Oryzias latipes: one gene and its partner. The protein of the gene in region 1 purifies or fractionates together with the protein of each later gene. This does not show direct contact. Links are inferred from orthologs where the notes say so. Each region holds a gene or a part of one and is shown on either strand. Other genes may lie near its edges.

Evidence for each region.
Region 2: the proteins of klhl6 (region 1) and nudcd3 purify together in Homo sapiens (affinity purification with mass spectrometry; 3 studies listed by BioGRID and IntAct, counting the BioPlex papers as one, with this or other methods). This does not show direct contact. The link is inferred for Oryzias latipes from reciprocal best matches to the Homo sapiens genes KLHL6 and NUDCD3.

Annotation. Positions count from the first base shown.
Region 1 is NC_019879.2:24,301,020-24,305,354, reverse strand, and holds the start of klhl6 (kelch-like protein 6), read left to right. Parts: upstream 1-1,260; 5' UTR 1,261-1,712; coding exon 1,713-1,963; intron 1,964-2,676; coding exon 2,677-2,842; intron 2,843-4,335. UniProt on the Homo sapiens protein: Involved in B-lymphocyte antigen receptor signaling and germinal center formation.
Region 2 is NC_019870.2:1,856,844-1,861,186, forward strand, and holds the start of nudcd3 (nudC domain-containing protein 3), read left to right. Parts: upstream 1-1,504; 5' UTR 1,505-1,639; coding exon 1,640-1,837; intron 1,838-2,208; coding exon 2,209-2,492; intron 2,493-2,561; coding exon 2,562-2,694; intron 2,695-2,759; coding exon 2,760-2,903; intron 2,904-2,985; coding exon 2,986-3,174; intron 3,175-4,343. Other genes in the region: mrps24 (28S ribosomal protein S24, mitochondrial), read right to left, coding at 1,059-1,094.

The DNA of each region.
Region 1 (4,335 bases):
GACCACCACAACTTAGAGGCAAATTCTGATGAACTGCTGCTGTTCTGCAGAAACTACTGTATGTCCTTGCAGTGGGACTTTGATTTTTGTCATTATTAGCATCAATTTTTAGGTATGACCAAAAAGTGGATTTATTAACATTATTCTGTTTATTAGTATAATTCTGTTTATTAACGTTATTCTGTTTATTAACATTATTCTGTTGGCAGATATTCAAGTAAAATATCTAAGAAAGTTAAACATTCTTGCACCTCCCTTTGCTAAATTCTAGGCTCGGATATCTTAGCCTTTTTAAAATCTTAACATTTTTGCAACAACTTAATGATATTTTCATACTGTATGACTTTTATCAACAGCTTTATTCCACCAAGACGATAAAAACGGTTCAACGTGACATCAGCAGCTGTCCCACAAACTCACACTGAAGAAGACAAACAAAAGCGACAGATATGTGTGCACAGATGAATAAAACCTATAGGGTTATTAATCATGACTTGAGTGGAGAATTGTGATTAAAACTAACACGTAATATGTCGCATATGAGTGAAGTGTATCTGTGGAGAGTCTCGTTCGTCCAGGATGATGTTTCCAAATTCACCTGGACTTTAGATTTTTAAGTTGACGAGGTTTTGCCTCTTATTGAAGGAACTTTCTCAATTCTGTGACAAACTGAAAAGAGAACTACTTTTTGTAAGCGTCTCGGAGGAAGGAAATGGTCTTGATGTGGGTGACGACAAAGTGACGAAGAGAAAAAACCTTTGTTTTTGACCTTAGCATGCCTTTCAATGGACTTACATTAGACTCCCCCCAAAAGACTACATTGATGACCCTTTTTATACAGTAACTACTTCTGTAAAAGTGTAGATCTAGATCATCTCAGAAATAAGTGACTGTTTATTACAAATGTTATTGCCCGTGAAATCAAAAACCAGGTTTTCTAGGACAAAGCATCTTCATTTTCAACTAAATGAGACGGAGGTGAGAGATGATCATCTGGGCTTTCTTTAAAAAAATTGCACATTAGAGTAGCTGCACTAGAAGAAAAAGGATGTAAAAGAGAAAACAGTTGGCTTTTCTGTTGGCAGTTCCTTTTTATTCTTTAAGGTTGTAATTTTTTTTTAATGTTTAATGTACTTTCTTCCTGACACGACAGACGTATTTTCAACACAGCCTTTTGTTGTCCCAACGAATCCTGCTGGATGGATGTTCTTGCCTCAAGTCCTTCTGCATCTCAAACCCTGATCTCACATGTCGCTCCCTGCCCCTGTGAAAATAGCGCACTTCTCAGAAATGTAATCAGTCGCATCTCACTTCAGTTCGAGCACGGGGGAGTGATTGAAGACAGTTGAACAAGAAGGGAGTGAACACAAACCACATCCGACCCTGAAAGAAGAAGAACCTGGGAAACGTTTCACTGTTTTTTTCCACTCTTCGCCTGATGCTGAGGTTTCTGCAGCAGTTCGTCTGAGCTACTTTGGACTCGTTTATGCGGCAGAAGAAGAGGAAGTATGTAGAGACAAACAAACATTGCTACATCCTCAGTGAACAGGAATAGGAAGTATGAAGAGGAGAAGAAAAGAGAAAAAAAATGCTCGTGTCAAAGTAACTGTTGGCATGAAGTTTCATTCGGTTACAAAGAGGTATTTGGAGAACGCTCGCTGGCAGTTGGTCTGTAAAAAGTGACTTCTTTGGAAGAACCATTGAAACTAAACATGAGCGATTCACTTGAGAGGACAACAGACTGCCTACTTAGTGAAGACAGCTCCAATCAAATGGAAGAAAAGGACAAGGCAGGAGTTGTGAGCGAGCTGCGCTGGCAAGATGAAGGCCTATCGGTGGAGCTGCTGAGAGGGATGGAGACCCTGCGGGTGAACAGAGAACTGACCGACGTGACCATCTGCGTTCAGGGACACGACTTCCTCTGCCATCGAGCCATTCTTGCTGCTGCTAGTCAGTACTTCAGGTACTACAAACTATTCTACACTTGCAACAAGGCTTGTTTTTGGACATTTAAGATATTCTAGCAGGTTTTAAGTTTTTTTTACCTGATCTTTGCTCCACACCTTTCCAAGCTTTTCTCAAACAGGAGAATTTCTTGTCTCTTTGAGAGCTAGGATCTAGAAATTAGGACATTATTATTAAAATGAGCCAAAAATCCTTTTGCTCTAAACTCCTGACGACAGAAAAACTATATATGAAGACTCAAAAAACAACAACTCAAATTACACTGTAACTGTTATTTTAAAGTTTAATAAACGTCACCAAAGTCATCACAACCGCTGTGCTCTGTGGTTCAGATCATTTACTACTCCTTAGTAATTTTCTTCCTAGGCTTTAGTGCTCTTTTCCTATTTTTAGGCCACATCTTTTTTGCATTGTGAGCATAATCGAAACACTGCAAAAACTGAATCTTAGGAAAGTAGAAAGTCCCTTGTTTCAAGAAAATCGTCTCATTTTTCATGTCTTTCAAGACAAATAATATTATCCAGAAGTTTTTCAAAACAAGGTTAATCTTAGTGTGAGAAAACATGTCTCTGTGACAAATGTTTAAATTCTTGGTTGGGCCATTTTTCCTACACCTCATTGGCAGATTTTATTTGATTATTTATTTTGACTTATTTCTCAGGGACACGTTTTTGCAGTGAAGATGGTGAAAAAGTGTCTCTGTGTGTGCAGGGCCATGTTCTGCAGCGGCCTCAAGGAGAGCCACGAGGACCGTGTGGAGATCAAGGGGCTCGACAGCGGAACCATGCGCACGCTCCTGGAGTACACCTACACCAGCCGAGTCTTCCTCACACACTCAAACGTCCAGGGCATCCTCGAGGCTGCCAGTCAGTTTCAGGTAAAAAGGTTCCACATGACATGGAGACACTTTGTGTTAAAGGTGTGATGCACAATGTCAGCATACTTTCTGAAATCTTCATGTTCAGCTGCTTTTTATGTTTTTTTTATTCTTTTTTGACCACAGGAAGCACAAAACCAGAATTTTATGTTGTTATAATTTAACATGTCTGTATTCACAAATCCATACATAAATGGCTGCATACATTTTTTTAAAAGTGTCCTTTAAAATTGATGTTTCAACTAAAATTAATACATTTTCAATGGGAAAAATGGTGGAAAGCTGCTTAAACTAACAAAGGATTTCTACACCTAAAGCTTTGTATTAGCTGCAAAAACAGCCCCGTGACTGGCTATTTTGTTTTTTTCTATTTTAGTTTTGCTCCATGTCTGTAGATAGCAATGACCGGAAAATACATATTAAAAATAAAGTTTATTTAAAAATAAATAACTAAATAAAATGAATCTAATTTCGCTTCAGGGCTTTTTTTAAAAACAAAACTCTCTTACTTTACAACATGAAGGGGTGCAAACATGTTTTTCTGAAACTTTCTTATCTAATAGGGAAGTGAAAGTGGGCCAGTTGTTCATACTTAGGATCAGTTTTCCATACAGACTCAAATTATCTTCACAGCTGTGCCTTAGAGAAAAGAAGACAGCTGCTTTTACTGCCAAACCTTTTGACGGTTTTCACCGGTATTACGCTTTACGAGAAAACTAGCAAATTTATTCTCGTGCATTTTTTTTTAACTTGTCCTGTCCAACAGCTGGGCAAACAGATGAGAGCTGAAGGCCTCTTGTGTTGGACATATTTTACTTTAACAACAGGGGTTACATTCTTCTGACAAACCAGAGGTATGTTTGAATAAACCCCTTTTGTAAACGAGGCCAAACTTTATTCATTTTAATTATATTTGAAAATCTTTTTTGTTGGACCGGACGGAAAAGGAAAGGAGGGAGGAAGAAAGAGGGACATTAGGGGGGGGGGGGGCAGCATAAAGCAACAAGTTTCCGGATGGTTCCAATCATTACAGTGAGGTTCAGATGTAATACAAGTCTATAAGGGCGGGGCCTGTCCACACACACACTCAGATGTTATAAACATACCTGTTGGCTCCAAACAATGTCAGCATGTCAACATGAACACAATACAAACACGCATTTATGCCTTCAAACAAACTAGTGTGAAATATTTCATTCAATCACATAAACTATTTGTGCAAAAGTGAGCTAAAATCGGTGCTCAAGTGAGTGTTTATGTTCTTATAAAATATTCTTGTGCATTTTTTATTCACAAATGTTTTGGATCATAGCTGGTAATGAGAAGTTTTAAAATTCAAAACCTAAAACTCTCAACATTTTACTAAAAGAAGCTTTTTGCAGCTAAAACTTTTAAATGAGTTTGGAATTTCCCAAAGATTTGGACTCTTTCTTTTGAAAGCAAAATCCCCGTTTTCTCTCTGAAAATAAGACCAAATCAGTTTAAACTTCTAC
Region 2 (4,343 bases), on another chromosome or scaffold:
TAAAAACACAACCGATGTTTGGTTAACCTTTGACCCCGTGAAGAGGCCGCCAACAAATTGAAACTCCTCCGAGGGATTTCGATCCAAGCATCATTGGGAAGCGACTTGGAAGGAAAATGATGGAAGTAAAGTGTGTAGGTTTTGGACTGCGTTATTGTGGCGAGCGTCCTCAGGTGACCAAAAAACAAAAAGGTTGCCATGGAAATAAAACCATCAGAAAGCTGTCATTTTGGAAAATGCTAACCATTTGACTTTCCTTTGGTTTTATTTCTGATTTGAAAGGTGAACTATTAGAGCTCGCAGAGAAATGGAATAATGGTCTTTAGTTTGGGAGTTGAAGAACCAATGATGACTTTTCACTCTCAGATACAAACATATGAATGAAAGTTCATATGAAAGTCTGGACGAACAGATCTGGACCTAATCTGAGCCATCAGTGCAGAAGTTTTTGCCTCCGTTCCATCTAAAACTACCTGTTGTCGAGTCTTTAAGACAGAAATAAACTTCAGCTTGTTGTTCAAGAAAGAAGGAGAAACACGTCTGATTTTTAAATCAACCCATCAGCTTTCAGAGTTGATTTAAAACTAGTTCCTTCGTTTATAAATGTCTAAATGGATCCAAAATACTTTTTTGAACCTCTTAGAGCCCTCAGATCCTCACATGCAGGTCTGCTCTACTTCCAAATGTTGAGAAACACTGAGAGGTTATTAACTGAAACGAGATCTTTAGATAGATTTAGTGTCATTTGAATGCAGCGCCCTCTGTCGGTGGATCCTGAAACCAATGGGTTTTCTTCAAATGCTGAAAACCTTTCCGGATTAAATCGTGGCTTTAGCTCACTTGGATTACAGACACGCATTGATTTATGGGGGGAAAAAGTCTTTAAAGAAGTTAATCGTCTCTTCGTTCTCGGCAGGCCAACATTTCTCACAGAAAAGCTTCTCGTTCGTAACCAGAATATCATCGTTTCTGAGACGTCATCATTATTTTTAAGAAAAGACGTTTTCGATAAAATAAAATGTCTTAGATGTTAATAAATGTTCATTTTGTTGTCTCACCAGCAGCCTCCCGCCGCAGCTGAAGGACGCGGCCATGTTTTCTTGTACCGTCTGAAGCGGAACTACTATTGTCCTTAATCTATGTTGTTTTATAACAACGTTTTTATTTAAAAAGAACAACAAAAACGCATGCTTTATATTAAAAACAACTTCCAAACTAAAAGTGTCGATCAAAACAGCCCTTTTTATGTTTTTATGACCGTTTGTTTTTATGTTGTTTCTTAGGGAGCGTTTATGTAGCTGGAACGGAAATAAATCATTTTTTACAGTATTTTGTTGTTGTTGTTTTGCGCTTGATTTCAATGAATAAATAAAATTAAATTGGTGCATATTTAAGTGGGCTCTCTAATTTGTAAATTAGCTTGCTTCAAGATGATTTCGACGAAAAGCAAGCTAAAAAAACAAACAAAACGACTGGTGTGCTCTTATTTTGACATGGTGGTACCGGAAACTGCGTCATTGTTCTGGAAAAAGACAACCGTAATCAGAGAGACAAAACAAACCGGCCTCATTTATACACTGTCGTTCGTGGTTTTGGTCACTCGGGTCATTTCGGAAAAGGGCTCGCGCTCGCAGCCGCGATGGCGTCGCCGCTGGAGATGACGGAAATGTACGACAACGCTCTGCTGGGGATCCTGCAACACGTCGGAAACATTCAGGACTTCCTGAGGGTCTACTTTGGGTTTTTGTACAGAAAGACGGACTTTTATCGACTGCTGTCCGGTCCCGACGACAGGATGGGCTTCCCTCCTGGAGTCGCAGAGAAGATGGTGCTGAAGGTGAAGTTTTGTAAAGGCGCTCGCGGCGTGGCGCGTGCCTTCCTTCCGAGCGTTTGCCGCGAACGAACCAAAGTTTCAGATCTTGTTTAGATTCGTGTTCTGGTTTGGGTTCTTGTAGAGATGCGCCACAGATAATAATATCTACACTCTAAAAACACATCCCCAGCGTGTTTCAGGACCGTTTAAAAAATGTTTAGGGGCCCTGGGCAAACCTGACTGCAGGGGCCCCGTCATCTCTCCTGCCGCTCAAAACCCCAGACGCCTCTTTCTACTGAGCTGGTTTCAGTGGAACCAGTGCCTCTGGTTCTCCAAACTCCTTCTGAGCTCCAACTGGTTTCTGGATCCCACGGCAGACTTTCTTTTGTCCGCAGACGTTTAGGCTGTTCGAGCAGATGGCGGATCAGGACCGGCAGAGGGCGCTGAGCCAGCTGCAGAACGCGGAGGAGAGCCGCGGCGTTCCTCCTGCAGTCCAGGAGCTGCAGGTCTCCTCTGAGCCCCCAAAGGCAGAGGAGAGGAGCAGCGTGGAGGCGCCACAACCGGAGAGCGCCGCCAGCGAGGCTCCAGACGCTGCGGCTGCTGCCGGTGAGGCTGCGGCCCCCAGCGGCAGAGGAGCTCCGTCGTCTCAAGGAGATGAAGCGGCGGCGGCGGGAGAAGGGTGAGCATCCGGCGCAGAGGAGGAGGAGCTTCCTGGACGGGCCCGCCTCCTGACGGGTTTGTTTTTCAGGAACCAGGACATGTTTCAGGCCAACCCCGACAGCTACAACGGAGCACAGAGGGAGAACTACAGCTGGTCTCAGGACTACACGGACGTGGAGGTCCGGGTCTTCGTGCCGAAGACGGTGGTGAGAGGCCGACAGGTGAGTCCGAGCCGCTGCGCCGCCAGGAGGTCGGCAATCCGGCGCTGACGGGGGCGTGTCTGCAGGTCAGCGTCAGTCTGCAGCCCAGCGGCATCAGAGTGTCCACGAAGGACGGCGGCGAGGAGAGAACTCTGATGGAGGGGGAATTCACGCACAAGATCAACACGGAGAACTCCCTGTGGAGCCTGGAGCCCGGGAAGTGTGTCGTGGTGAGAACCGGGACAGAACCGGGCCCTGTTCACCAGGAAAGAGCGCTCTCTCCGGGCTCATGTGGGTGTTTGTGACTCGCAGCTGTCGCTCAGCAAGACCTCCGAGACCTGGTGGAACGCGGTGCTGAAGGGGGAGGAGGAGATCGACATCAACCGGATCAACCGCGAGCGCTCCATGGCGACGGTGGACGAGGAGGAACACGCCGTCCTGGACAGGCTGACGTTCGACTACCACCAGAAGCTGCAGGGCAAACCGCAGAGCCACGAAATGGTGAGGAAGCAGCTGGGCGCGAGGGGCGGGACTTTAGATCAACGCTTTCATCGGAACAGCCAATCGGTGCTGAGCCCAACAGAAGAACTCACGGAATAGAAACGCGAGGATCGTTTAAAAAAAGGCTCATGGGCACTAAGGTAGAAAGATGCTAAACTAGCTAAATATAAGAGCGTAGGAACAAAATTAAAAACGTTATTTCCAAAGTTACGTAGTAAATAAGACGCATTAAACAACCGGTGCATCATGTGAGACGAAAGACATTCTGGACCTTAGTTGTATTACACAACGCGTGTTATTGCTGTTTAAGCCACTTTAGCCGCATAAGCCACGTTTGCCATGTTAGCCACATTAGCAGCGTAAGCCAGCTTAGTCATGTCAGCCGCATTGGCAACGTATGCCGCGTTAGCTACGTAAGCTATGTTTGCCATGTTAGCCGCATTAGCCACATTATCTGAGTTAGCCACATCAGCCGTGTTAACCACATTAACCACGTTAGCCCCATTGGCCGCGTTACCTGCGTTAGCCACATTAGCCGCGTTAGTCATGTTAGCCACGTAAGCATAGTTAAAAACTGCCAACCATGTTTGGGACACGTAAAACTGTTACTGGTAAAATAAAACGTCACCCTGACTACGCTAAATCCCAACTTTTGTAATAACACAGACATGCTATAGTAACGTATTTACCATAAACCCAACCGTTTTTTCAACTTGTTACAAAAATTGACATTCTGACAGAGCGCCATGTTCCTCAGGAAATCAACAACAATCAACATCAGTAAACAAAAGCAGAATTAATGCATAAGCGACACACACGGCTCGACAACTGTTGTAATGCCGGTAGAGGTGTTCTGCTGCAAGTCGCCTGTCAATCAACAGACCACACCCCCATTAGCACACGATTATGACTTGTAATCGTGTTCCCTCGTTTATCGTAAACGTTCTAAAACTACGGGACGGATGTTTTAAAACTCACTTTCTAGACTTTTCTCAGACAAACATTTTCACACTTTTCTCTCCTTCAAACTGACAAAATTCAAACATTCGTAGAAAAAGAAGTTTAGTTTTATAGAAAGAAAACAAAGATCTGATCAGGATTGAAGATTTCTGTAAATGTGGAAAAGTGAACGCATTCTGTAACACAATGGAGGTTAAGGATTTTAAGAT